Linked DNA regions of Coturnix japonica. The protein of the gene in region 1 purifies or fractionates together with the protein of each later gene. This does not show direct contact. Links are inferred from orthologs where the notes say so. Each region holds a gene or a part of one and is shown in the gene's direction. Other genes may lie near its edges. The genes, in order: BAG2, RASAL2, AMBRA1, UBAP2, MLF2, DNAJB4 and SGTA.

The links.
Region 2: the proteins of BAG2 (region 1) and RASAL2 purify together in Homo sapiens (affinity purification with mass spectrometry; 3 studies listed by BioGRID and IntAct, with this or other methods). This does not show direct contact. The link is inferred for Coturnix japonica from reciprocal best matches to the Homo sapiens genes BAG2 and RASAL2.
Region 3: the proteins of BAG2 (region 1) and AMBRA1 purify together in Homo sapiens (affinity purification with mass spectrometry; 3 studies listed by BioGRID, with this or other methods). This does not show direct contact. The link is inferred for Coturnix japonica from reciprocal best matches to the Homo sapiens genes BAG2 and AMBRA1.
Region 4: the proteins of BAG2 (region 1) and UBAP2 purify together in Homo sapiens (affinity purification with mass spectrometry; 3 studies listed by BioGRID and IntAct, with this or other methods). This does not show direct contact. The link is inferred for Coturnix japonica from reciprocal best matches to the Homo sapiens genes BAG2 and UBAP2.
Region 5: the proteins of BAG2 (region 1) and MLF2 purify together in Homo sapiens (affinity purification with mass spectrometry; 4 studies listed by BioGRID and IntAct, with this or other methods). This does not show direct contact. The link is inferred for Coturnix japonica from reciprocal best matches to the Homo sapiens genes BAG2 and MLF2.
Region 6: the proteins of BAG2 (region 1) and DNAJB4 purify together in Homo sapiens (affinity purification with mass spectrometry; 4 studies listed by BioGRID and IntAct, with this or other methods). This does not show direct contact. The link is inferred for Coturnix japonica from reciprocal best matches to the Homo sapiens genes BAG2 and DNAJB4.
Region 7: the proteins of BAG2 (region 1) and SGTA purify together in Homo sapiens (affinity purification with mass spectrometry; 3 studies listed by BioGRID and IntAct, with this or other methods). This does not show direct contact. The link is inferred for Coturnix japonica from reciprocal best matches to the Homo sapiens genes BAG2 and SGTA.

Annotation. Positions count from the first base shown.
Region 1 is NC_029518.1:79,197,086-79,201,157, reverse strand, and holds the start of BAG2 (BAG family molecular chaperone regulator 2), read left to right. Parts: upstream 1-1,272; 5' UTR 1,273-1,394; coding exon 1,395-1,570; intron 1,571-4,072. UniProt on the Homo sapiens protein: Co-chaperone for HSP70 and HSC70 chaperone proteins. Acts as a nucleotide-exchange factor (NEF) promoting the release of ADP from the HSP70 and HSC70 proteins thereby triggering client/substrate protein release.
Region 2 is NC_029523.1:5,256,396-5,260,500, forward strand, and holds the start of RASAL2 (ras GTPase-activating protein nGAP), read left to right. Parts: upstream 1-1,305; 5' UTR 1,306-1,992; coding exon 1,993-2,590; intron 2,591-4,105. UniProt on the Homo sapiens protein: Inhibitory regulator of the Ras-cyclic AMP pathway.
Region 3 is NC_029520.1:21,106,387-21,109,451, forward strand, and holds the end of AMBRA1 (activating molecule in BECN1-regulated autophagy protein 1), read left to right. Parts: intron 1-1,039; coding exon 1,040-1,530; 3' UTR 1,531-2,565; downstream 2,566-3,065. UniProt on the Homo sapiens protein: Substrate-recognition component of a DCX (DDB1-CUL4-X-box) E3 ubiquitin-protein ligase complex involved in cell cycle control and autophagy.
Region 4 is NC_029547.1:6,914,978-6,919,273, reverse strand, and holds the start of UBAP2 (ubiquitin-associated protein 2), read left to right. Parts: upstream 1-1,496; 5' UTR 1,497-1,623; intron 1,624-4,296. UniProt on the Homo sapiens protein: Recruits the ubiquitination machinery to RNA polymerase II for polyubiquitination, removal and degradation, when the transcription-coupled nucleotide excision repair (TC-NER) machinery fails to resolve DNA damage. May promote the degradation of ANXA2.
Region 5 is NC_029516.1:69,478,777-69,482,771, reverse strand, and holds the start of MLF2 (myeloid leukemia factor 2), read left to right. Parts: upstream 1-1,195; 5' UTR 1,196-1,350; intron 1,351-1,488; 5' UTR 1,489-1,514; coding exon 1,515-1,564; intron 1,565-3,057; coding exon 3,058-3,184; intron 3,185-3,266; coding exon 3,267-3,302; intron 3,303-3,995.
Region 6 is NC_029523.1:16,608,729-16,612,228, reverse strand, and holds the end of DNAJB4 (dnaJ homolog subfamily B member 4), read left to right. Parts: coding exon 1-112; 3' UTR 113-3,399; downstream 3,400-3,500. UniProt on the Homo sapiens protein: Probable chaperone. Stimulates ATP hydrolysis and the folding of unfolded proteins mediated by HSPA1A/B (in vitro).
Region 7 is NC_029543.1:2,303,230-2,306,039, forward strand, and holds the end of SGTA (small glutamine-rich tetratricopeptide repeat-containing protein alpha), read left to right. Parts: intron 1-305; coding exon 306-395; intron 396-608; coding exon 609-723; 3' UTR 724-732; intron 733-1,036; 3' UTR 1,037-2,310; downstream 2,311-2,810. UniProt on the Homo sapiens protein: Co-chaperone that binds misfolded and hydrophobic patches-containing client proteins in the cytosol. Mediates their targeting to the endoplasmic reticulum but also regulates their sorting to the proteasome when targeting fails.

The DNA of each region.
Region 1 (4,072 bases):
ACTCTGAAGGGACAAGCCTGAGAAAACAGCTATTTGGATCCGCAGCATGACAGGCTCACAAAGCAGTATCTCTGTGCAACTCAATCTCTCTCAGCAGGGTGCCAAAAATTGGGCTGCTGGAGCTATGCAGTATTTGCCCAAACCTGGAGTTAGGGATAAGCAAATTCCTTTTTAAACAGTCACAACAATGGCAAGCAAAGCCTGTGTGTGCCTTGAGCTGCTGGAACTCTAGGATCAAGGGGTTTCTGTGGGAGCTGGTTCCTGAGCTCCTCTAAGGGAAGGTTCTGCTCCATGTGGAGAAGTGATATGTGATCTCCCACCAACGTCATTACTGACTGTGGTTCCGCTGTGTTTCCTACCATTCAATGGACATACAGTTCTGTTGGGCACTGAGGGAGAACAGAAACAACTTCCAACATAAGCCTTTCTGTATTGTCTTAGACTACTTCTTGCACTGAGACAGGGTCCGTTAGCACCAAGGTGCTGTTCTTGGGATCATCTGAAGGACTGTGGTTTTAAGAATGCTCAGTTCTGGCTCTGCTCACAGACCAATTTCCTTGACCTCCAAATTTTCTGCAGTCTTTGTACTAACAGCATGAGACAGACACAAAGCTGTTGGAGCAGGTCCAGAGCAGGCCGTAAGGATCATCAGAGGGCTGGAGCTCATCTCCAATAAAGAAATGCTAAGGGAGTTGAGTCCGTTTGATTTGGAGAAGGGTCTGGAAGACCTCACTGCATTCTTTCAGTATTTAAGGGGAGATGATAAAAGGGAGGGAGACTGAGATCATGGCCCAGTAGTGACAGGACAAAGACAAATGATTTGAAATCAAAAGAGAGGAGGTTTAAGATAGATATTAGGAGGAAATTCTCTACTTGGAGGGTGGTGAGGCATTGACTCAGCTGCCCAGAGAGCTGTGGTGCCCCATCCCTGGAGGCGCTCAGGGCCAGGCTGGGTGGGCCCTGGGCAGCTGAGCTGGTGGGGGGCAGCCCTGCCCACAGCAGGGGGGTGGCATCGGATGGGCTTTGAGGTCCCTTCCAACCCGAGCCAGTCGGTGATTCTACAACGGCCATCGTGTAAAGTGTAGACACTAAAAGTCTCCCTCCCGTTTCCTTAGCTCCAGTTTCAGAAACAGAGCAAGAAGGCCGCCGGTGCCGACGCGGCGCTGCGGTCCTGAGGGCTGCGGGAGCTGAGGACGCTGCGTGTGACTCGGCTCCGCGCCGCGGTGCCCGGCGGGCCGAGCCGCGAGGCGGGGCGCGGAGGCGGGGTGCCGCGGGGGCAGGCGGCGGGCGGGCTCCTTCTTTGGCCATGAGCGGGACGCCGGCATTCGGCCGCCGCCGCCGCCTGCGGGACGCGGGAAGGGAGCGGCCGCCGCCGCCGGCAGCGGGCGAGTGCTATGGCCCAGGCTAAGATCAGCGCCAAGGCGAGCGAGGGCGCGCCGCCCCAGCAGCAGCAGCAGCAGCAGCAGCAGCCGCCGTCCGCCGGGCAGCTCCGAGGCCGCTTCTACCGCTCCACCTCCATGGCGGACCGCTCCAGCCGCCTGCTCGAGAACCTGGACCAGCTGGAGCTCAGGTGGGGCCGGGGCGGCGGGGGGTCGGGAGGGACGGGACGGCGGGGCGGCGGGGCCCGGCGGGAGAGCCCCGCTGCCGTGGGACGTGTGCATGGGTGCGTGGAATAGAGGCGTTTTTATAAGAGAAACGGATTTTCCCGGCCCGATGTGTGTAACGCCAGGCGCTGCTCTGCTCTGCTCTGTGGGGAGCTGCTGGAAGCTCGGAGCTGAAGCGCGGTAACGCTCGTGCACCCCGTGCCTCTCTCAGCCCAGGCACCCAGCACGGCCACGTTCCGCGCTCGCAGACCCTCTGTGTGCCCGCCGGGCTGCCCGCACTGACGGCTGCCGCTCTGAAACCCTGAGCTGTGGTACGGCCAGCACTGCGCTCTGCGGCACAGCCCTATTTGTAAATAGCTCCGGATACAGCCCGTGTGAGCTGCCCGGGTGAGGTGGGCACCGCGCTTCAGCCAGCAGCGCTGCTGTCCCACACAGCCCGCCGTGCATTGAGCGGCTCTCAGAGCCACCCGGGATGCTTCCAGGTCTTTCTGTAATTACAGAGCCCCACGAGAGCTGGGTTTTTCCCTTTCTGTGTGCATTGCTTTGCATTATTCAGGAGGCAGCAGCGTTAGCCTTTCACTGATGAAATCTCCTCGGAGCTCTTCTCAGGCTTCTCCGAATTTGACTAAACAAAGTCAGTGCCTGCAAACAGGTCTCACTGCTGGCATCCAGGTGGAGTGTGGTAGCGTATAATTACAAAATGCTGCGCTGGATAGGCAGGAGGGTATGCAAAAGTGGGTTTTAAATGTGCTGAGCAACTCCGACACGAAGCAGACAGTTTGATTAGCCAGAAACGAAGGCCAAAATGAAACCCTCCTGCTTGCCGTGGGCCTTCCAGAGAGGCACATTTCTAAGTGTGGAATGATGGCAGAATAGGGGCAAAGTGCTGTGATTAAAGTCAGCCAAGTTTCAATTTTGCTGTGTGTAAGCAGTGAAGACACCTCACTTTAAAGCCATTTGAATGTTAGGAGGAAGATTGCCTGGGCTGCTTCCTTCTCCAGATGGTGTGACCGAGCTGCAGCCCCGTGGATAAGACTTGTGAATGCCACCAGTGAGGAGTGCCATAGTGCACCATGGGGTTGTTGAGGGGCTTCATAAAGAACTTGGCCATGAGGCGGCTGAAGGCTGGCTGGGCCCCGCATCCCTTTGGAAGAGCTGATCCCAGCTGCCCTCCTTTTCCTGCCTCCCCCAGGGCCATGCTGGGCTGCCGTGGGCTGGTACCCACCAGCCATAGGGGTGCACAGCTCCCTGGGCCTTGCAGTTCTTGCCAATTATTTGAGGCACCTCCAGGAGCTACTGCTGAGTGGTGCCCAGGTTTGGGCCCGCACTGCAGGTGTTGGCAGAGGCTCAGGACAAGCCACTGCCCCAACTTACTGTGCAGCGTCAAGGGATCTCACAGCCATTGGAAGCCGCTGTTTATGAGTCACTGCGTTCTGATGGCAGCATTAAATGGACATGTAGTTCCAGGTCTAACGATGCACAGGCACAAACACAGACTCCTGCTTTTGTTTCCTTTCTTTCCCTTTATAACTTCTTGTACCTTTTGTCCTCTTCTCAGCCCTTTCCTCACTGCTCATTACTCCAAGCCCCAGCCCAGCAGGAGCAGCTGAGGACAGCGGGCTGAAGGGTCCCACTTGGCCTCGGCACTTTGGCTGAGCTGTGTTTCAGGAAAAAGCGCTGAGGCCTCACTGAGTGTTTCTGCATCCTTCTGGAAATTCATCTCCAGCGGGCGAGCTGCAGTGAGCTATTTCTGCAAGCCCCTGGTTAATGCGTTATTGCAGCTGTCCCAGGAAAGCGGATATCACGTTTCTGCTGGTGGAACAAAGCGTGGGTCGGCCCACCTGTTCCTCCAGGGAATGCTCTGCTCATGTCCATGGCATGCAGAGAAGAACGGCATGGCACCTCTCATCGCTCTCAGACCAAGGCAAGTCAGGAGTGAAGAATGGTTCTTTTAGGCTCAGACGATCCGCGGAATATTAAACTAATGCTGAAAGCAACAGATAAACTCCATCCATAAGGATGTCATTGGATATTTTCACCCAGCAGAAAGAAGCCCATACTGCTGCACTCACCACAGTAAGGCACAGACCTGACAGCCTTCTACAAGGAGAGGAAGCTGCCAGAGTCGGGTCTGCCTTAGGCACTGTGCCCTCGCTGCCAGCAGAGCAAGCTGGGGAGGGGCAGTCAGGAGCCCACAGAAATGGCCGCTGGCGTGACTGGGTGTGTAATCCTGTCTGTCAATCTGATACCCACTTGTGACCTTTCCAGGCCCCCTTCTCTGTGGACAGAGGCTATATATCGCCAGTTCAGATTGTATTCACGCATGGCGATTTATTTTCTTCCCTTCTCTTCCTTCTCTTTTTTTTTTTTTAAAGTCAGTCAGTCACTGAAATACCTAGTGGTAGGAACCCACACTGTTACCTTGACAAAGCCTGCCTGCATCTCCTCAGCACGTTCCCCTACCTGTC
Region 2 (4,105 bases), on another chromosome or scaffold:
ATGCTGGAAATCTGCAGCAAACAGATCCTGGGAAGACTTCAGCTACTGCACCAGCTGTCTGTGTTGTCCTCTCCTGCCCTTGTGTGCTCCCAAAAGTTGGTGCAGATGTGCTAGTGGAAACCTTGTGCAAGTCTTGCAGGGCTGACCAGAAACCTATCCCACATTCTCAGTTTTCTCTGCAGATTGTGGCTTGTGCCATTAAAATGAACCACAGCGTCATCTGTCAGATTTACTTACTCTTATTTCTAAAGTTCCATAAAGCCTGTTTTACCAGACTGGCTAATTCAAAGCATTTGTTCAAAGCTCTGCTGCTGCTTTTGTGACCACAGGCTCTACGAGAAAACCAAGATTCACTGCTGGAAGTCAGTGACCGAGTAACAGCAGGAATAGCCTAAGTCTGGGTGTTCAACACTGTCTTTGCCTCAGCACCAAGGGCTTTCCATCTCATCGTCATGCTGGGCACACTCAGCCTTGTGCCTCTGGGAGAATCCTTACCCTGTATGGAAACTGCAGCAAAGCTTTTGTTTAGGTATGTGTTACCATTAAGGGCCTGTGCTGAGCAGCACAACTTCCAATGGAGAAGGAGAGTCAGCTTCAGTGGTTTTGATGCAGAATTTGTAATGCAGTGTCTCGGCTTCAAATAGCCTCCATGTGGTGACACCCTCTTTGATACACATACAAAAGTAAGGAAGTTTTGCATCTGCAGCTGTCAGGAGTGTACTTTGGCTGATGAATGCTGTCAAAGCTTAAAGGCAGGATCCCATAGCGGGTCAGTTAAGCTTTATTGGTCTGCCAGAGCAGATTATCATTTTATTTAACCAGAGAAGTGGTTTTCATTGTTACTTGATTGCCAAGGGTCTGTCAGCATTTCCATTATAAACCTCCTATTTTCAGGGATTTTAGTAGACTTGAGATTTAAGTGTTCTGGTCTAAAACTTGGCAAGCATGATCTGAGTTCACCAGCAGCTATTTTCTTTATGAGATTTTAAAGCAGTCAGCTGTTTCTTAAATTGTAGAGAAGGCGAGGGGATTTTTTTCCCTTCTCTATTAAGCAGATTGGAGCATTTTGTCCACCCTTATTCCAACCAGATGTATGAAAGTAAAGAAGGGGGGGGGGGGAGAAAGACAGATACTCTTTATCGTGTTCTGTTGGCTGGAGGATAATGCCTCAAGGCTTTCCCAACCTCTGCTCCAGTGCAGGATGGTTGAAGTCCCACCCACCCGCTGCTCTTTCTCCTCCCCTTTACTTATTTGCCTTTGGTGTATTTACACTCTCACTATATTAAGTTGCAGCATTCCTTCTCCTTACTCCATTCCTCGCCTTTGCTCTGTGAAGCTTCCAGCACCCAATTGTGATGACTCTGAGTATTTTACTCCTCTCTAAAAGGAAACTCTGGGGTGATGCGAGGTGCTTGTGGTAAATATAAACTCTAAGGATTGCCTTTATGTTGTGTCTTGCTCTATTTGATGTACATTGCTACTTAACTGAAGAACATAATGTGCATGGCTCCTCAGCAGAACATTGCAATTTGAACACTTTTTTGGGGACTTTGCTGTCACCCTAAAGCTGTGACTCTACTTTCACATTCTTTTTTTTCTCTTTTGTTTAACCAAATCTTTAATGTCTACCAAACGAAAAAGTGAAGTGTGATTGGTGCAGATCAGCACTGTGGGTTTTCATGGCTGGGCTCTTTTAGTCATTTCCTGAGAGCTCGGTGCAGAGCTGCAACAATGCAGGAAGCAGCAGCAGGCGTAGCGAGGCTGAGTGTATGGTTGGAGAGCAGCTTGCTGTAGGTGAGGGCTTGTCCTCCTTGCTGAGATGTAGGAATTGCTGGGATTGATGCTCTGGCTCATCAGGAAGAACCTCTGCTATCCTTCAGTCACAGCAGTGAAGATGATTTGGGCATTAAAATGCTGAGCCAGAAACTACAGCTATGTGACTCCTGAGTGATGAGTGATGCAAGTTAAGATCTGGAATTCAAGAGCTGGAAGATGAGTGCTTTTAAAAAGTATTACAGTCTCTCTCCCAGGACCTTTAGAAGGTCTTTGTCAGAACAGGATGCTGGCGCTGCTGCCTTGAAGGACTATCATTGGTACCACCAAATAAGAAGCAAGAAGGTGAGCAAACAAACAGCTTTGGAACCAGACAAAGCACTTGGAGCGTACAGGTGGCAAACGCATCCCCGTATTCCCTGGAGGATAAGCAAAAGAGCACACTCTGGCAGCCTTAGAGGGGAAGGTAACAATTCGAGTCTTGACAAGAGTTCTGCAAGCATGGATGCTACCAGCGCCGAGGATCTCCACCAAGACTCAACGGAGATGCTCTTCCAGGCAAGGACCAGATCACTGCGGGTTCCCTTCAACCGTTCCCTGTCTGAACCTGTGCCGCAATCTGCACACAGGAGTGCCAAGCCCTTTCTGCAGTCAGTACGCTCTGTGGATGGTGAGCAGCACAGCTATTTTGTCCGTGGCATCTTCTCAACTCTCTCAAGTGGCTTTTCAAAGATAATGAATCGAAGAGGGGAGCAGCCCCCCAGTGAGGCACTGGAGGAGTGGAGAACAGACAATAGGCAAATTGACCCGTGCACAGGTAATAGACTGTGTTCTGTTAAGTTCTGTTTGTGTTACAGGTGTGTATAGTTATTTTACATGTCGTGTCATAGTTGTTCAAACCGGTTTTGAACTTTGCTGTTTGGTAACATAAGATTTGCAACCTTCTGCTGTTCTGCCTTAATTAAAGAAAAAGACGGGGGGGGGGGGGAAGGCCTTTCCTGATAGAGAAGTGGCGTGATGTTTTGGCATGCGCTTAAAAACCTGAAGGTCCCGTTAAAACAGATGTCTCTGGAGGAAGCAGAAGCATTTCTCTCCAAAATGAACTGTGTGTGTGGTGCATACAGTCCTGTGAGCACAGCAGCCTCAGAGGAGTAGTTGTGTGCTGATGGATGTATCAAGCCTGCTACTGTAGATGAAGTACTAGGAGAAGAGAGAGGGAAATAAAGTGGTCTTTTATCCAGTGTGCAAGGCAGTGGAATGGATCTAGTTCCTCATACCAGATTCACAGTTTTACAGTCAATCAGCTAAATTGATGTCTGCTCTCTGTTAGATGCCAAGGGCAGCAGTGTTACAGAGGTTTAGCCAGCTGGGATTGAGGTCAGCAAGATGCCAGTCTGAGATTCCATTTAAATCTGCCCTGCTGTTAACAACACTCATCAAGCAGGAAAAAAATAGATGTAATAAAAATGGGAGAAAGGGAGAAATTCTGTTCTCTTGGTCTTCCATGGAGCTTTCTAGTGGGATGCCAGCCTGATCTGAGTGACCAAGGAGGTGCTGGGGGAGGGGAGCAAGGCCTTCCTCCTCTCCAAAACCTCTGTGCTCTCCAGAGTCCTCCAGATTATCATATTAAAACCTGGTAACATCTGGACCTACTTGAAACTGCTGGACGAGCCATCCTTATTAAGAAAACAATAAGTAAGTCAGCTTGCTGTTATTATTTGTCCACACAGGTAGTGGGTCTGAGTGATGGTGGTGTCATTTACAGGCTGTGTTTGGTATTGGGAGCAGCCTTGTTGGTTTACAATGCAAAACAAGCATAGAGCAGCAGCACTGAAGGATTATCTCCATCAGTCTCCTAGGGTTTGTTTGAAGTCGCTGCATGTGTTCATTGCTTTGTATTCTTCCAGTACCTCACTCAGGTGGAATTTGGCTTGTCAGTACTTGTGAAATACATGGGGAAAAAATGAAGAGACGGTGCTACTTTGCTTCTGAACGCATCTCGTTAAGGGGTTGGTTTGGCTCCTCCTGTTGTTGAGACCTCCTGAGAAACTGGCATTACTGCAAGCTGCTCTGTTGCTTTGGACAGTTGGTTTGGTCTCTGCCACCATGTATTTATCAGCAAGCTATTTTGGGAAGGTGTTCTATATGACAGAAGTATTTTGGATTAAACACTTGCAATCTTTAAAGGGCAGCACATGCTGTAGTTCCTTTTTCACACTGTTCTGGTGCTGTGTTGGAACAAATGGTTCTCTAATCATTCCTAAATGCTGGTCAGTTAAGTTGTTGGGGTGCTCATGGAAAGTAAAGGGCAGAGAAGGGTTATATGTGAGAG
Region 3 (3,065 bases), on another chromosome or scaffold:
TTGCTACGTTCCTAGCAGAAAAGGACTTATTCTGCTTGTGAGAATTAAGCTTGCCCTTAATATCTGCTGTGTTTCTACAGCAGGGCAGTATGTCAGCAGGCTTGCTTGAAGAAATTAGGCATACTCTGTGGTGGAGGAAGTCAATGGTATTTGATGCAAATACCACTGAGACAGAGAATAAAAGGAGTAAGCTGTCACCGACTGACTGCATAAATGTTAACAGCTTTAACTATCTTGTTTTTTCCACAAAAAATAACATCTACAGCAGCATGGTGTTGTCTGTGCTGAATATCCCAGCTCCCATACTGGAGACACGATCTCTATCCCACAGTCCCAGGTGTTTTGTCTTCCTAGTCAGCGTGGCATTTTGGTTTTTGTTGTGTTTTAACTTCAGCCTACATCTTAGCCTTGTTGACATTTGTGTTGATTTCTTTGGTGCCAGGAGAGCTCGTGGTTTTCTCCTCCTCTAATCAGCACTGTGATAGCTTCATGGAGCTGGGAGTGAGATTTATCTCTTTAATAAGAATCGTCAGGATCCCACTGTGGAATGATTCTGGCAGTTCATGATTACTGATTGTTTTCCCCAGACGGTCTGGTTAAGGTTTGTAGCAAAAGGAGAATGGTGAAAAACAGAACTGGGCTTGAATGTTCCTGCTGTGGGTTTTAATCTACATGGGCTATTTTTCCAAGAGATTTTCTTTTTCAGAGGCATTTGACAGTGGTTCCCTCAGAGCTCAGTACAACCAGATTATGAGGGGAAGTTTGAGGGAGAGTAAACAAAAACCTTAAGAGATGTTCCTCGAAAAAATACCTGTTGGGGAGAGCAGGAACCTACACACTGGACTTCTTGACTAAGGGCACTGCATTTGTTTGGCATTTGAAGGAAAGTTACAGAAATGAAATACTGAACTTCCACTGGAGCAAAGCCTGTCTTCTGTCCCAGCACACGTGCCCTGTTATTCAGTGACATTGTGCATGCATTTTCTTGGTGCTTTAGTCTGCCTGATGCACCAAAGTTGCTTTTGCTCTCTCTTTGCAGGTGAAGGTCCAGAATACGGGGCCGGTGGGGAGGATGCCCTGAGCAGGATACAAAGGCTGATGGCAGAAGGTGGCATGACTGCTGTGGTGCAGCGGGAGCAGAGCACCACCATGGCGTCCATGGGTGGCTTTGGCAACAACATCATAGTGAGTCACCGGATCCACCGCAGCTCTCAGACTGGTGCGGAGTCCACTGGAGCTGAGGGAACATCAGCACATCAGTCCACCTCACAGCAGCTGGCATCTGAGCTGGAGGGACGGATCCTTTCAGAGTCTATGCAGCTGTCGGAGCACGGCCTGAGCCCGCGGACATCTTCTGGTGGGAGTGAAGGACGAGGCACTGGTGACCTGGACCTGCCGGAGCAGGCCCAGCCCTCCATGGACACTGAGGGACCAATCGAATACAGTGACCTAACTAATAATAACCATCTTCCTGACAGTACCAACTTCTATAGTAATGACAGCACCAGTGGGGAGTCGCGGAACAGGTAGAAATGAGTTGTGTGTTGGTGCTACCCTTGTACTGCTCAGCAGAGACCTGTACCTCACAGCTGGCCGGAAGCTGGAAGAGTAGGGACATGTGGCTCCAACAGGATGTTGGTAGTTCAGAGGGTTTCTATGTCCTGGGTGAGTGGCAATGGATAAGAACTGCGAGGAAGCCATGGGCAAGAAAGCATAGTATCTTAACTTCCAACATTCCCACTGCTGAATAAGAACAGGAATATAAACAATACTGGCTGTACTCCATGCAGATTTTGAAGTCGTGTGGGATCCCCTGAGCTCAACCCTGCAGTTTGGTCAGTGTCATTCTTTGTAATGCTTCTCCCCTTTCCTCTTTCCTGCCCATTTATGCATAGGGGCTGATCAGCAGAGTGAAGGGAAACAGGCCTGCAGCATCCTTCTGGAGACTGGCAGCCCTCCTGTGCAAACCTGGGCGTGATGCTCCAGCGCTGTTGCTGGAGCAGAGGAGTCTTCCAGGACACAGTCCTGTGCTGTGGTCTTTTCTGGGAAGAGCTAGGATTCATCAAAACCTTCATGGCTCGGGAACTGCTTACACGTGGGGATCTTTCCTTCTTAGAAATTAGGTTAGTACTTGCCAGGAACCTAAGCAGAGCTGCTATGTAGATGAATAGAGGGACAGGGGCTACTGCTCTCCAGTCAGGATGCAGTTCATAAGTTGTGCCAACATTTAACATGAATGAGCCATCCCAGTGGTTTCATGGTGCCAGGACTGAGCTGCACCTCCTTGGCAGGGGGCAGGAAATGTCTTTGAGCTCCAGGCCAGGGTGTGAGGTATGGGTCTGTGATGTAAGGTGTTGCATGTGAAATCTTGACCTTGTACATGTAGTTTCTAGTGGAGAAATCAAGGCTCTGATATTCTGTTTTTAGTCTCAAATGTGATTTTCCTTTTCGTTTGTAACTCTCCATCCCTAGCAGGTTTGTGGAGGAAGGACGGGGAGAGTGTGAGTGCTAACGAGGGAAACACCAAAGATTAATGTCATTAAAATATGACAAACCCTTGCTTGACCTACTGTCTTCATTTGTGTGATGGATCTCTATGGGATTGACTTTGGGAGATAGGTACATCCAGCTCAGGAACTCAGGGTAGCTTACAAACGTCAGATAATGGTCATTCCCTTTCCGGAAGGATGGCAGGCTCAGCGTTGGAGTGGAAGGCTTTCAACTATGCAGCAGAGGGGAGGAATAGAGAATCTCAATTGCAATTTGCCTTTCAACCAGTCTGGGGATGAGCAGGCACTTCTGCATTTCCTATCATTCAGGTACTGCAACAGAGAGAAAGTGGAGCATTTCCCCTGTCCTGTTCAAAATGGTACGTAACAGCTCTGTCCATCTTAGACAAGCAGAGAGGGATCTGTCTTGCTGAACTCTTGAAGCAGAAAAGAGATCCAGGGTCTGGCTGTCCTGGATAAAGGAATGCACGCCCCAGCGTCTGTTACCACTGTCTGCACTGAGGGATGCTTCCTCTGCCATCAGATCACCTGCCAGCAGCTGCTGTGCTTCTGCTC
Region 4 (4,296 bases), on another chromosome or scaffold:
CCCAAAATGAGCGTTTAAAGTGGGGCCCTGCAGGATCTGAATCAGACTCAGGTTTGCTAAAGTGTCCTCAGCGATCTGCAGTGAATACAGAGTCACTGCAAACATTTTGTGGGGAAAAAAATGAAGGAAAATAAACCAATAATGGGGATAATGTATTTGTACAGAGCAAGTCCAGAGTTGAGTCTCATGAAAACATGTCATCTTCTTCCATGAACTCAAATGTCAAGGTGAGAACACCTGGACCAAGGGCTGCAGGCAGCACCTACAGAAGAGGGTCTGTCTCTGGGTATGAAGTGATGCTGAAGGGCTCATCAGGCAGTCCAGCATCAATTTGCAGGGTGATGCTGAGATGTAACAGACTAATGCGGCCCGTGAATGCCAGGAATTTTAATGACCTGGTCTATATGAGGAGTAGACAATGATATCATCACCCCTTCTGCCTTTAACACCATGAATCAGTGAATGCCATATATGCCAGAAGGGCACCCACAGCTCAGTCACCTTTGGCAGAACAAATGCTGCTGAATGGTGCTGTGCCTTGGGATGCACATTAACACAATTGAGCACACTATTGTATATAACTCCATTTCCAGACAGGATCTTTGGAGACTCACCTCAAACCTAAATGCAGCAGCAATCCCTGGTTGTTGCCCTGGAAAGGCAACGTCTCTTGGCACACTTTCACACTGAATTCAAGACTTTCAGTAGTTCCACCCTTCTGATTATTGCCTATAATGATAGCATCATAGTCTCATAGTCTTGTGCGGGTTGGAAGGGACCTTAGAGAATAACGCAGAAGTAGAGCAGACTTCTCAATCAGAAGCAGGGTGATATTCTTAACATTAGCATTCTCTCCTTCTTAACATTAGCATTCTTTCCCCCTTCAATGTTACTGGCCAACACCAACAGACTAAAACGATGGTTTCCAGCCAACTATGTAAGACATCTGCAATGGGTGACTATGAAAAACGAGGTTGAGGTGAGTTTAAACACACGGCCCGGGGGGATGAGCACCTTCACCGGATAAATCCCTTATAAACAAACGGTAACACTGGGGAGGCCGCAGATATAGCGCAGACATGAGCAGAACAGAGTGAATTAAATATCTGAATGGGGAGGATCTGCCTGCCAGGCCTGATGCTGTGCTCAATGCAGGGTCTCCATTACAGCCCAGACGTGCTGAGGAACCCAGTGAACCGGGCCGTGACCGAGGGGCGCCCCATCCACACCGACACCCCGCGCTGTGGTGGACGGGTCCACTTCCGGCCGACCACTTCCGGCCGGCGGGGAGGCGGAGCCGCGGTCACGTGACGAGGAAGAGGCCGTGCCCCGTCGCCGTGGTCACGTGGTGCCGCGGAAGGGCCGGCGGATGGGCGCGCTGCTGGTGCGTGCGGGGCGGCGGGACGGGGGGGGGGGGGGGGGGGGGGGGGGGGGGGGGCGCGGCGGCGCGTCACGTCCCGTCGCGTCGCGTCGCGTCGCGTCGCGTCACGTCACGTCACGTCACGTGCCGGGGGAGCGGCCTCGCGCGCGCGTGGAGTGGAGGAGGAGGGAGCGGCGCGAGGGGCGGTCACGTGACGCGGGTGGGCGCCGCTGCTGCTGCTGCTTTGTGAGCACGCTGTGCAGGTACCGGGTACGGGGTAAGGGGTACGGGGGTATGGGGTATGGGGTACGGGGTACGGGGTATGGGGTAAGGAGTACGGCGGTACGGGGATACGGGGTATGGGGTACGGTGTACGGCGGTACGGGGTATGGGGGTATGGGGGTACAGGGGTACGGGGCAGCCGCGTCTCGCGTGGGGCGTTGTGAACCCGCCGTGGGGCGTTGTGGACCCGCCGCCCCCCCCCCCCCTCACACCCCCGGCGTTCTGGAGCGGCCGTTACGTGCCCCCCCCCTTCCATCACCCTCCGCCCTCGCAGCGCCGAGGCCCAACGGTCGCTTTTGTCCGGGGGCGGCGGGGCCCGGTCCGTCCCTCAGCGCTGTGGGCGGGGGGAGGCGAGGCCCGGCCGGGCCGTGCGGCTCTGCCCTACTTTTGTGGGCGCCCTCCACACCGCCCGCTGCTCCGGAGCTGCGGCCCGCCCCCTGTCGCCGGGCACACGGCCCTGGTGAGGCGGCGGCTCGGCCCTGAGGTGCGCTGCTTCCCGCCTTGGGAGGCGGCCCGTGGTGAGGCCTCGGGGGTCGGGGTGTGGGGAGGCGTTGGTGGGATGGATGTCTGCTGTCTGAGCCCCGTGCCGGGCTGTGCTTCCATGCCACATCCGCGCTGGGGGCCTCCATAGGGATGGGGCTGTGCTCGGGACGGCCCGCAGCGGGTTGTGTGAGGACAGGGCTGGGAACGGGCCCCTGTGAGCCTGGGTATGCGTGGGAAGTCTGTCAGGGCTTTGCTATGGAGCTTGGTCATATTGCGCTTAATAGTAATAATAAGAGTTGTTTGCTGTTGTTGCTGAAGGAAATTACAGCAGGGAAGTTGACCTGGAGAAACCCATCTGGAAGGACCTGGGTGTATAGAGGGATCTGGTGCGCCTTGGAGTCCTGCTGGATCTGAGCTCTGTAAGGTGCTGTAGATGTAGGAAGGTGTGCTGTGGTGTCTGCGGTCGCTCAGGTGTTGTGGCTTACAGCCTCATACAGCTGTGTGTCTGAGTGCTCACAGTCCTCTTGATCGTGTTCAGAGGAGCTTCGTGAAAGAGCAGGTTGTGGCTTTGTGTTGAGCTGTGTGAGGGGAAGCTCACAAGGGCCAAGCGTGGAGCAGTGATCAAGCTCTAGTCATCTCAATTTGAGCAAGTGATGGAGGTTTATAATAAAGCAGCAGATCAAGGCAGTGCCCTCTGGGGTGGCAGTCACTACTGAAATGGAGGGGCTGTCCTGGCGGGAGAGTGGCTTTTTAATTTGTTTTCAAGGAGAGAAATGAGCTGGATGTGAGTGAAGTGAAGGGAGAGGGAGGATGTGCAGGCCTAGAGCAACACTTTCCATTGAAAATGGAGCCCTTCACAGAAAACAGCATCAGCTAAGCCTTTGGAAACCTGTTTGTTTGTTTTTTAAGTATTTACCAGCCCCTTCTAGCAATTCTCTCGGTTATATCGTGGCCTGTGATGGAATCTGGGTTTGCATTTTTACCTGAGTGACTCACTATTTATACCCGAGCCTGATCTCTCTGTGGTGGTTTGACCTAACTTGCTTAAAGAATTTATTTTTAACCTTATGCTAGGTAACTTTAAAGTAAGATAGGCCAAATCATTTAGCAGCATTGATGATGTTTTGGGGCTCCAGGAGTGTTACATGGAGAAACTGGATTAACTGGTGTGAACTGATTTTGATGTGTAGTCTGGAAAATGGGCATGCTTTTTGTTTATAACCTCAACAGTCTTTGTAAGTTGGAAGGGGGAGGGAGGAGTGGGAATGCTCAGTTCTCTTTTGTTCTAGCTGCAATTTTATCAGCATACTGACTTAAAGTGTTTATAATAATGAAACAACAACAACAACAAAAGTTGTTGTTGAGGGACGGAGGGACAGACGGGGCCCCGCCGCCCCCGGACAAAAGCACAGAAGTTCAGAACCTTGGTCTGTTCCACTTCTGTTGTTTTGACTAGTCCTCAGGAAAGCTTCTGAGATTGCAAGAGGATTTCAAGGTTGGAAGTGCAGATTTACCACTAAAATGTAGGGGAAGCCAAGGAAAATCCCACCAACAGAATCTTGTTGGTTACTGTAACTTGCTCTTTCTGTTTTTGCTTTGCTCTGCTTTTGGGATATTTTATTTTATTCCATGCACTTTTATGTGATGTTTTCCTCATAAGACACCATTCTTAGTATGTTTTATATTTGTTGCTGGTGTCCCCCTATTGATAGTGCTCATAGCAGAACAATATGCTGTTTGATGGTACTTGACAGATGTTTGCATGGTGGAATATTGATATTACGTTAATAATTGGTATTAATAGTAATGTTTACTTGTACTTTCAGTTATGGTTAGTACCAGTGCTTGGACCAGGTTCTTTGTGAAAGAATAAGAGAGAACACAAATATGGATCTTCTTATCTTTGTTTCGTGCTAAGTAAGAGCACAGGAGCAGCCCTGACATCCTTGGTAGAAGCTGAGGGACTGTCTCCTTTACAAAAGGCCAGATTGGAAGAGACTTTGTGTTACATTTGTGTACTTCAAAGCTGTTGAGGGAAGGTGTGAGGAAATACAAGTAATAACCATACTTTAGTGTTGGTGGTCTGCTGAATCTTAACATTTTATTTATTTTGTTTCTTTTTCTCCCTGATACAGTCTGCTGGTTTGTAGACCAATGCATCCTGTTTGCTT
Region 5 (3,995 bases), on another chromosome or scaffold:
AGAATGACCCGGGTTGGAAGGGACTTCAAGGATCATGTAGTTCCAACCCCCCTGCCTGGCAGGGCCACCAAACATACACCTTTACTAGATCAGGCTGCCCAGGGCCCCGTCCAACCTGGTCTTGAACACCTCCAAGGACGGGGCATCCACAACCTCCCTGGGCAGCCTGTTCCAGGGCTCAGTCTTGCTTCTTCCTATTCACACTGTATCCTCGTTGCAGCTTCTACTCCGATCAGTAGATTGTGAACTTTGGCCGCATACCTGTATCCTTCTGTTTTAAACATAGCGTTTATTTACCCACGCCACGTGATATTCAGTTTGCTTTGAAAACGCTGTGGTTGCCCCTTTGGCTGAGTGCGCAGCTAACAGCGCTGGGGACGTTAGGGGGAGGGATGCTGAATGGCAGCGAGTCAGCAGCAGAAGGTGGAGCTCAGGGCAGTGGCATCACTCCTCGCTTCCATTTTGCCCTTGGCTCAGCCTCTCCTCTTCCCCCATTCTCCTCTGCCTGGACTGCTTTAAAAAAGGAAGGGAGGCAGTGTGGGTAATGGCTTTGATTTATGACAGATTCTGCGTTTCTAACAAGGGGGAGCTTGTCTGTGTTGCTGGGGCTTCAGCCACCAGTGAGCCAGATTTGCTTAACTGGTAACATTGCTGGTAACATAGGTTACATAGGTTACATAGGTTACATATAGGTTACAGTGTGCACTCCTGCTCTGTGTTGGGGAGGCAGTAATGCCTGATGCTGTGTATGGAAGCAGCTTTAGGAGCCCTGCCATGTCTGGGGGTGGGATGGCTGCTGGGATCCGTGGAAAGCAGGTCATTTTATCGCAGCCTTGCTCCCAGTCCCATAAATAACGCTTCCATTCTTGCTCTCTCCCTGCCCGTCTGCACACACCCAATGCACCACGTGCCCGCCCAGGGTTGAACACGCCGAGCAGGAAACGCTTTTCCATGCTGGAACAGTCAGACGTGTGACTGAGGCTCACGGAGGGGGGCAGTGATGCCTTGGTGGTGTTGGCAGCGGCTCCGGGTGAGTGTCGGTGCCCACGGGTGCGCTGTGAGCTGGCGGCCCGCTGCCATAGAGCAGCATAGCGGCGCTCGGGCCGCACTGACCGCCAGGGGGCGCTGTGCCCCGACACGGGCCCGAGCGCCGCTTCCTGCCCGGCGAGAGCGCACCGACACACGGCGCTGTGCGCGCATGCGCGGGGCGAGCCGGCTGGAGCGGAAGGGGTGAGCGGGCTGCGAGCCGCCATGGGAGCACGGGAGTGAGCGGCCCGTGTGTGCATCCTTCTGCTCTTCGTCTTCTTCCTGCCGTCTGCCCCTCGGCACCGCACGGAGAAGGGGCACAAGGTGGGGGCGAGCCTGGGGCCGGGGGGGGTGGTAGTGGTGGTGGTGGGGAGGTGAGGTGCGGGTCTGGGGGCGGCCGCCTTTGCGACGTGCGGCCTGCTCAGCGCTTCAACCTCCATCCCTCCATCCCTCCCTCCTTAGAGCCCGCCCCCGGCCAGGGCAGCAGCATGTTCCGGTTGATGAGGGACGGCGAGCCCGAGGATCCCATGTTCGCTATGTGAGTCGGCTCGAGGGGCCGGGGCGCTGCGGCACGGCCTGCACGGAGGGGAGGGGGGTCATGGGGGGATGGGAGCGGCCTGTTTCGTGCCAGCCGAACCACTGTGGCTTTGAGGACACATTGAATAAAGTAGGCCAAATACACTGTGAGTGTGTGAGGAAAGCAGCGCTGGAGCGCCCGACCTTTTGTATGTTTGGTGGCCCTGTGTATGTTTGGTGGCCCTGCCAGGCAGGGGGGTTGGAACTACATGATCCTTGAGGTCCCTTCCAACCTGGGTCATTCTGTGATTCTGTGTGATTCTGTGACCTTTAGCTGTGCTTAAGGATTGCTGCGTATAACGAGTAAGGTTTGATAACATCATCTGTGCCTGTTCGTTTCTACCCCGCCGAAGAATTCATTAGTGGAGCTGGAGGAGGCTGCTGAGGGAGCTGTCACGTTGTGAGGGACTAAATGAGGAGAATTCTAGGCGTTTTAAAACACAAGCCTGAAAACCTGATGTGGGTCCCAATGATGCTTTGCTTTGGGGTTCCTCTTACTGGTTGCTTTTATTTCTATCCCCTGCTCAGAAATGGGTTGCAACTGATGAGAGGTGGCGGTTGTTGCCAAAGCAGTTAAGGACAAGAGTGTTATATGGTAGGAGTTTGTATGAAGTGTGGCACTGCTATACATTAGTTACAATTAATATATGTAGGAAAACAAAGCCCTGCTCTTGCTTATAAAGTTGATTATAAGAATGTTATCAACCATAAACCAATGAGTAGGAGAGGAGACCTGGAAGTCTCAGTCACAGAGTGAGTGTACAGTTCTCACTGATGTGGCAGCTATGAGTCTCGCTTTTATTATGCAAAGTATTCCCAGCAGAAACAGGAAAGTATTGGGTTGTGCTCGGTGCTTTTGTGATCTCAGGAAATTACGTGCTGCTCAGGTTGTTTGTGCTCTGGAGGGATGAATGCAGAACTACCAGATGTGCAGAGAAATGCTGTGATGCTTCTCAGGCTCTTTAGCGTGGCTGCTGTTATTTGGGACTGTCCCTGTTCTACTTTTTCCCTCCTTGCTTCTCCAGCGTGTACAAGTATGTCCTTAAAGCAGAGGCTGCTAATGCAAAGAGTTTTGATGGCTCAAGAGGAAATGAGTATGAGATGATGGTAGCGCTTGGACTGCAGATCTTTTACCTTGTAGAGCAGTGAGGTTTTGGAGCTTGGCTCAAAAGTATTAGTGGGAACAGAGCATGGAGCTGGTGCTGAATAGACATTAGTTAGTGTGTAAGAGAGGTTCTGTGGCATAATACTTTCAGTCACAAGAGAAGAAATGGGATCCAGCCCTAAGGATTAGCATACGCAACACTGTGTGTGTTCTTGAGCTTCTGGATTTTCAGCTTAGAAAATACAGTCACAGTTGCATAAGAGAAACTCCGAGTCAGAATGTGTGTATTATACAGGACTCAGTGTTCTGTCATCCTTTTCTCACCACTGTTCTCTCAATCTTTCCCAAAGGGACCCTTTTGCTATCCACCGGCAGCACATGAACCGCATGCTTTCTGGAAGCTTTGGCTTTGGCCCGTTGCTTGGTATCACTGATGGGACCACGCCTGGGGCTCGCCAGGCTGGCCGTAGGATGCAGGTAAGAGAGGGGCTCTGAGGAGTATCTGGTGTTTGGCTGTTGCAAGATCATCGTTTATTCTGTTTTTCTGTTGTCTCAACAGGCGGGAGCTGTTTCACCCTTTGGGATGCTGGGCATGGTAAGTCCTCTGTTTTTCAGTGTCAAGTTTGAAGATAACTGGTTCCTCCTGCACTGCTATTCCTGAGTTGTATGGTTTTAGACCTTCCACTTCTCCTCATACTTCAGTGTAGTCTGTGGAGCTGTTTTAGAGGAGTCCATTTATACGGGCACCTTGAACAGAGGAGATCCATAAAGCTGTTACAGCATGGTATTTCATAGGAATTGAGATAGGTGATATCTAGGAAGAACGGAGGGTCTCTTAACCTCATGTGTCTAAGAAGAAGCTGTGGATCTGTTTGGAGATTGTTGTGAAACTGTGATGACACATGGAAAAGACTCGGCCGTCATTAGGCAGAGGCGGTAATTGAACTTCCTTTGAAAATGGTTGCAGAATGAAAAGCTAAAAGAGTAATTCAAGAGAACAGAATTGGAGTGAGAATTGCTGGATGTGTGGGAAAATGTTGTTCCTGGAGCTTGTTGATCTCAGTTATCTATTGTAGTAATACAGGGGAAATAAGTTATTCCAGATCCAGCAGCTTTAGGTGCCTTGCTCTGCGGGATTGACTCAATGAAGCATCCTGGAATCATTCTAGTTCAGAAAAGGATTAATAATACAAACAGTTGGACTTCAAAGGGTAATAACATTGCGTGTGAGTTCTGGTCTGCTCTAAACGAGAACAAGAAGCCACTTGAAGAAGGGAAAAAGGAATCA
Region 6 (3,500 bases), on another chromosome or scaffold:
CAAAAATCCTGACCAACGTGGAGACTTAATTATAGAGTTTGAAGTAATTTTTCCAGATAACATTTCTCCAGCATCAAAAGAAGTACTTAGGCGGAATCTTCCAGTTTCATAAAACGAGGACTATGTCAACTGTTTAAGCAGGACACTGGAAATGCAGAAGACTGGCAAGTCTGTGCTTTAAAAGTGCAATGTGTAACAACTAGTGGAATATTTGTTGTTTTTTTTTGTTTTGTTTGTGGGTTGGGTGGGGGGAAATACTGTAATGCTGCATGAGAAGAGTTAAGTACAAGTCATACAGATGACTTCTGCAGTATAATTTACAGGGAAAACCACTCATATTTTATATTAGATCTTCCTAATCAGAAAAGCTTACTCAGTATTTTGCTTAATATGAAGTGTAGTCAGTTTTTACAAAGCCAATGCATATTTCTGATAAAGTACTCAAGCCACTAAGTACTTTATTCCTTATTTCCCTACTCTATCTGTAACAGAAATGGTTTATATAGAAATTGGATGTGGTAGTAGAAATATACACGTGCAAATATTCTAAATTACAAAACAGTAAAGATACTATTTGGCTTTTTGCTTTCCACTGCACGAAGCATAGACTGGGAGAATTGGCTTGGTCTCCTAAATTGCCCCCCACTGAAATGAAAGTATTTTCTTTATTTCATCAGAATGCGAGGGATCTGCATTACAAGTCTAGGAAAGGACATGTAGCTTGAGGAGAAAGTAGACATTTGTTGAGTAGTTCCTCATGCTTCAGACAGTACAGCAAGAAAGGATTGTACATGTACAGCAAGTGTGGGCCCCGGTTGTTAAATGGGGTAGGGAAACTGGGTGGCAAGTAATGTGGAGAAGGCTGAGGTGCTCAGTGCCTTCTTTGCCTCAGTCTTTACCAGTAACACAGTCTTGACCAGGAGTCCCAGCCTCCTGAAACCAGAAGGAAATCCTGAAACAAGGAAGGGGTAACCTCAGTGGTGGTGAACCAACACAGAGGTGCATTTAAACTAGATGTACAAAAGTCCATGACACCTGGCAGGTTGCATGCAGAAGCGCTGAGGAAGCTAATGCCATTGCAAGGCCTCTCAATTATCTTTTGATTTGAGAATGGTTTCTATAGACTGGTAAGAAGCAAATATCACTCCTGTCTTCAAGAAAAGCTAGAGAGAAGATATGAAGAACTACAAGCCAGTCAGCCTTAATGCAGTCCCTGGGAAGATCAGAAAGAATATCTTCCAAAAAAGCATAATCAAGCACATGGAAGACAGTAATGTGATTTAAGGTCAGCATAGATTTACAAAATGGAAATCATGCAAAATGGAATCATGACTTGATTTCACTCTACAGTGAGGTGATTAGCTTGGTGGATAATGGGAAAACAGTCTGTGTTCTTTACCTTGACTTTAGTAGGCAAATTGGAAAAGTACAGGATAGATAGGTGAACAGTGAGATGAATTAAAAAGAGACTGAATGAGTGGGCACAGGGGTTTTGTTATCAGGGTCACAAAGTCTACTTGGAGGTAAGTCACTAGTGGTGTATGCAGACACAGTAATATTCAACATCTTTGTTAAAGACCTGGGGAATGGAATGGAATGCACATTCAGCAAGTTTGCATGTCATGCAGGAATGTGAGGAGTGGCTGATGACACCGTGTTGATTGTGCTGGTCTTAAGAGGGGCTTTGGTGGCCCAAAACAAACAAACAAACAAACAAAAAAATCATACAGAATGAAAAAACAGAGTTCAATGGGCAATGGGTAAAAATCTTGCACCCCGAAGTATTACCCAGGCACCAGTACAGTCTTGGGCTCACTGTCTGGAAGGCAGTTTTGTTGAGAAAGGACTTTGAGTTTCTGGCAGACAACAAACTGACCATGAACTAGCAATGTGTCCTTGCAGCAAAACAGACTAATGGTTTCCTGGGTTGCACTGGGAAGTTTTGTGAGCAGATTGAGGAAGGTGATCCTTTTTCCCTGTTCCTCATGGGTGAGGCTGCATCTGGCATACTGTGTCCTGTTGTGGTCACCCCAGTAGAAGGAAGACAGTGGCTTGATGGAACAAGTCTGTGAAGGACAGAGAACTGGAACTCTTCAGTCTGGAATGCAGAAAGCTCAGAGGAATCTGATGAATGTGTACAAGTACTTGGAAGGAGGGAATGGAAAGAAGGGAGCCAGACTCTTCTTAATAACACCCAATGTCAGGACAAAAAGGACAAAAGGCATGGAGACAACGTAATACACTTTTTTCTTTTAATACTGTGGTCTCCATCCCTGGAGATCCTCAATACTGAACTGGTCACAGCCTGGTCTAGTGACCATACTTGAGGAGATTTGGGTGATCACCAGAGGTTCCTTCCAACCTGAATGATTGTGTACACTCACTTAAGAGCCTCTTTCAATAGACAGTATTAAGGACTGTGTTCTGCAAATTAGGCTTAGCCCAAAAATGGGTGGTGCTGATGTGACAGCTTGAATCCATAGGAAATAGTTGTGTTTTGTTTTTTGTTTTTTTTTTTTTGTGGAAAGATGTATAAAGAACACTGTAGAATTGCATAGTAGAGCAGATATTTAAAGATCATGCTGATCTCAAGTTCAGACTTGGAAAATAATGCAAATTTTTACATTGAAGAAGGAGAATCCCAGGTCCTATCTAAGGAGAAGTCTGCTGAGGACATGATAGAATAGGAATTGCCCACAAACTTCTACGTGCTTGCATCGAGTCTTTTCTGAACACAAATATGACTTACTTATCTTTAGAGTTAAAAGGTGAATAGGGAAAAGGAAAGCCCTCTGTAATAGTCTAGTTTTGTAATATTGTAATAGGGCTGGTTCCCTGGTGAAAGAAATGCCTTGCAGATTTGTTCTTGTTACTTGAGTTTTAAAATATAATAGAGTGCTTTAGCAGCAGTTTCAAAGAATGCTTTTCTTCGTAAGAAGAAAATATATAGGATTTGCTGTTAGCCTTTTGACAGTGGAAACTCGGTAGTTACCTGCTTTGTTAGGTAGCTTAAGAAATAGCAGTATTAACTTCATATAAACGCTTTTCTGTGGGAAAGTAAATAATATGGAAGTTGGGATTCAAGTTACGATAGCTTTTTAATGAGCACAAAAAATTCCATTTTTGTTACTCAAAGAAATAAAACTTCTGGGAGATACTGTTCAAATAATTTTTCAACTGCTGATCTCTTTGTACATTGTCAGTTGTAGTCCTACAACTGCAGTAGATCTACAAGGAACAAAACAATTGCTGGAGCAGTATCACAAAGGGCAAACTTAGCTGCTTAATGTTTATGTGTATTGTTAACACTATATATTGTTTGTTTAAAGAATTCCCAATATGTTCTGTATTGCATTTCTTATGTGGTTTTTAAGTAAAAAGTGTAAAGTTGTTTTTTCATTTTCTCTCATCTTTTGTTATGATGGCAGATGCTGAAATCTATATAACTGAAGAAGTGTATCATTCTAAAATATATGTATGTTACTTTAAAAGTTAATGGC
Region 7 (2,810 bases), on another chromosome or scaffold:
AGCCTGAAGACTTGAAGGGGCTTTGCAGACCCTGCACTGATAGCCATGAGTCAATGTTGAGGCTGTCAGTAAACCTCATTTGGTGCAGAGCTATCAAATACCTTGTGTGAGGAGGAGCAGTGTAATAATTAAGCATAACACCAAGGAGAGAGGAATATTTGTCAGTACAGTAAGAAGCTGTTATAAATACTTCTGCATATCATGCAGCTTAATGATACAATTGCTCTTCTTTTCCCCTTTTAGTATCAAACAAAAAAGATTTGGGTGTGTTTTTCTACTCTGAGCAATGACTCTTCTTTCCACAGCATGTCTGGGATGATTTCTGGTGGCCATAACCCCATGGGAGCAGCAGGCACCAGCCCCTCCACAAATGACCTTGCCAGCCTCATACAAGCGTGAGTAAAGAGCTGGCTCTTCTCCATGACCTTAATCACTAAACAGACTTACAGATATTGTGATCAAAAGTAAAAACTTCAGTTAAGGGTTGAGTAAAGCTGCACTGTAACGTGAACTGCTTGTTAGAGCAGGGTTCTGGCAGTCACCTGGGATGAATTCCATAGCCCTATGGGTGTGTGAGGACACAGTAACTGTAGCTTGTTCTCCTGCAGGGGCCAGCAGTTTGCTCAGCAGATGCAACAACAGAATCCTGAACTAATAGAACAGCTACGAAGCCAGATCAGGAGTCGAACTCCAAGTGCCAGCAATGAAGATCAGCAGGAATGAGCATTACAGGTGAGGCTGCGGGGAGGATCTCAGTGTTGTGCTGCAATATCTGCCTTGTGCCTTCACTTAGCAGCTCAGTTTCTCTTCCCCTCCATACAGACTGAGCTCTCTGCTGCTGCTGTGCCTTGGGGAGACGCAAGGCTCAGCTCTGCAGAGCTTTGAATAGACCTCCCTCATGCTTTGTGACTGGCAGATGAATGGTGTTAGCAGTTAAAGGGGGCTGCTGATGTTATAGGTCTCTGATGTTGAATTGGGGTTGCTGTCTTTACTCATAAACTCAATTCACAAATGTCTTCTCTTCTTGTCTCTGCAGTGCAGTCCGTGGGATTCACCTTCTTTGCTTTACAAACTGGAAGCCATGTGCGTGGTGCCATTTGAATTGGAAGTGTCCAAGAAGGGGAGAGAGGGGAGGGGGGGGGATAAAACAAACCCACCCCCAACACAAAATCCTTCCTATGACCTGCATGTTCAAGACCAGCTTCACACTTTTCTTCCCCCAGTCTTCGTCCTGCTCCTCCCCCTCCACCTTTCCCATTAAGTTTTCTTCTGGAAGATCCAGCAAACACCAAACCAGCACCAAACAGTCTTTCTAAAGAGACTCAGTCATTCACGACGCTGTTACATTTCTATGGTCTTTGCTACGTTGGAGGGCATTTTTTAACCCCTTTTTGAAGAACGATGAGCTCTTCACTACAGGACACCTTTGCTTTCCTGCCTACACTTCAAAGAAGTGTTGGAGTCCCACCTCCATCCTGCTTCCCCTCCATCTTCCTGCCACTTACAAGACAGTGACATTGGAGACCACTGGATCTTCTTACCTCCAAGGACAGGCTTTCTCTTGATGTTACTCATTCAGGTCTGTAGCAACGTTGTGTTGTTCACACACATAGGATCCGATGGCTGCCTCTCTAAGGTTCCCATCATTATATTGGATGGGTTGGGATTGATGAGGTAGAACGAGCGTTTCCAGTTACACCTCTTGGGGTCCATCCCCAACCTTGACAAGAACTCATTTAGTGTTAATAGTAATTAGTGTTGGAATGAGCCAATCTGTGAACTAGTCGGGTGGACATTAAGGAAAGATATCATGTTTTCGGTGTTTAAAAGGTTTCTCTTTTGCTTTTTGATGCATGTAAGTAACCAACCCAGTTGATAATAGGAGTAAAGAGAAGGAAGGATGGAATAAGAAGCAGAAGGAATCCAAATGCTCCTTGGATATAGAAGGAAATACATGGAAATAGAGAATGAAAGGGCTGCTGGTTCAATGTGGGAGGATGGAGGAGATCCTTGTTGCTGGATACCTGCAGCTTCCCACCTCCCACAGCATCCTGGATGGGGATGGAGGCTTTGGGATCAGCTATAGGGCTGTATTAAAGGGTTTTCTAATGTATGGGGCCCTATTGCTGGGCATGGGGGCAGCTGGATGGCTGAGGATTGAATGGGAGATATAGGAGACCTGGTGGTACGAATGAGCAGGTATGTTGAATATCAAGGGAAACCAACAGATCTGTACATGCTCCGTAAATTTAATCTGTGGTTCATGTAAACTCGTGAAGAATAAACTATTTGGACACTCTTTGCTATCTATCCCCTTCTTATCACAGTGATTGAACTATCCGGCTCCATCAGCACAGCGGACAGCGCTGCCAACGGAGCAACCCGGAACCTTTCATCGCGCTGCGTGTTTCCGGCGGACTCCATTCTGCTGCACACCCCCCTAACGGGGAGTGGGCGGGCTGATTGATGTCTACCTCAGCCAATGGGAGCTTGTGATTATCATCTCAGCCAATAGGAGTGCGCCGCACGCCTGAGGGGGCGGGCGCTGCGCGGGGGCAGGCAGGACGGGGCGCAGGAGGGGAACGGAGAGTGAGTGGGGGGCGTTGGGGATGGGGGGGGATGGGAGGGAACGGGGGTCGGTCCTGAAGGGGTCGGAGCCGGCCCTGAGGGGGATGGGACGGTCCGAGGGGGGTCTCTATTGAGGTAGCAGCGAGTTGAGGGCTGTTAGTGGGGAACTGGGGGTGAGGGGGGGCTGTGGTGGGGATTGAGGCCTGTGGGGGGTTATGGGATATGTGGGGGGTTATGGGATA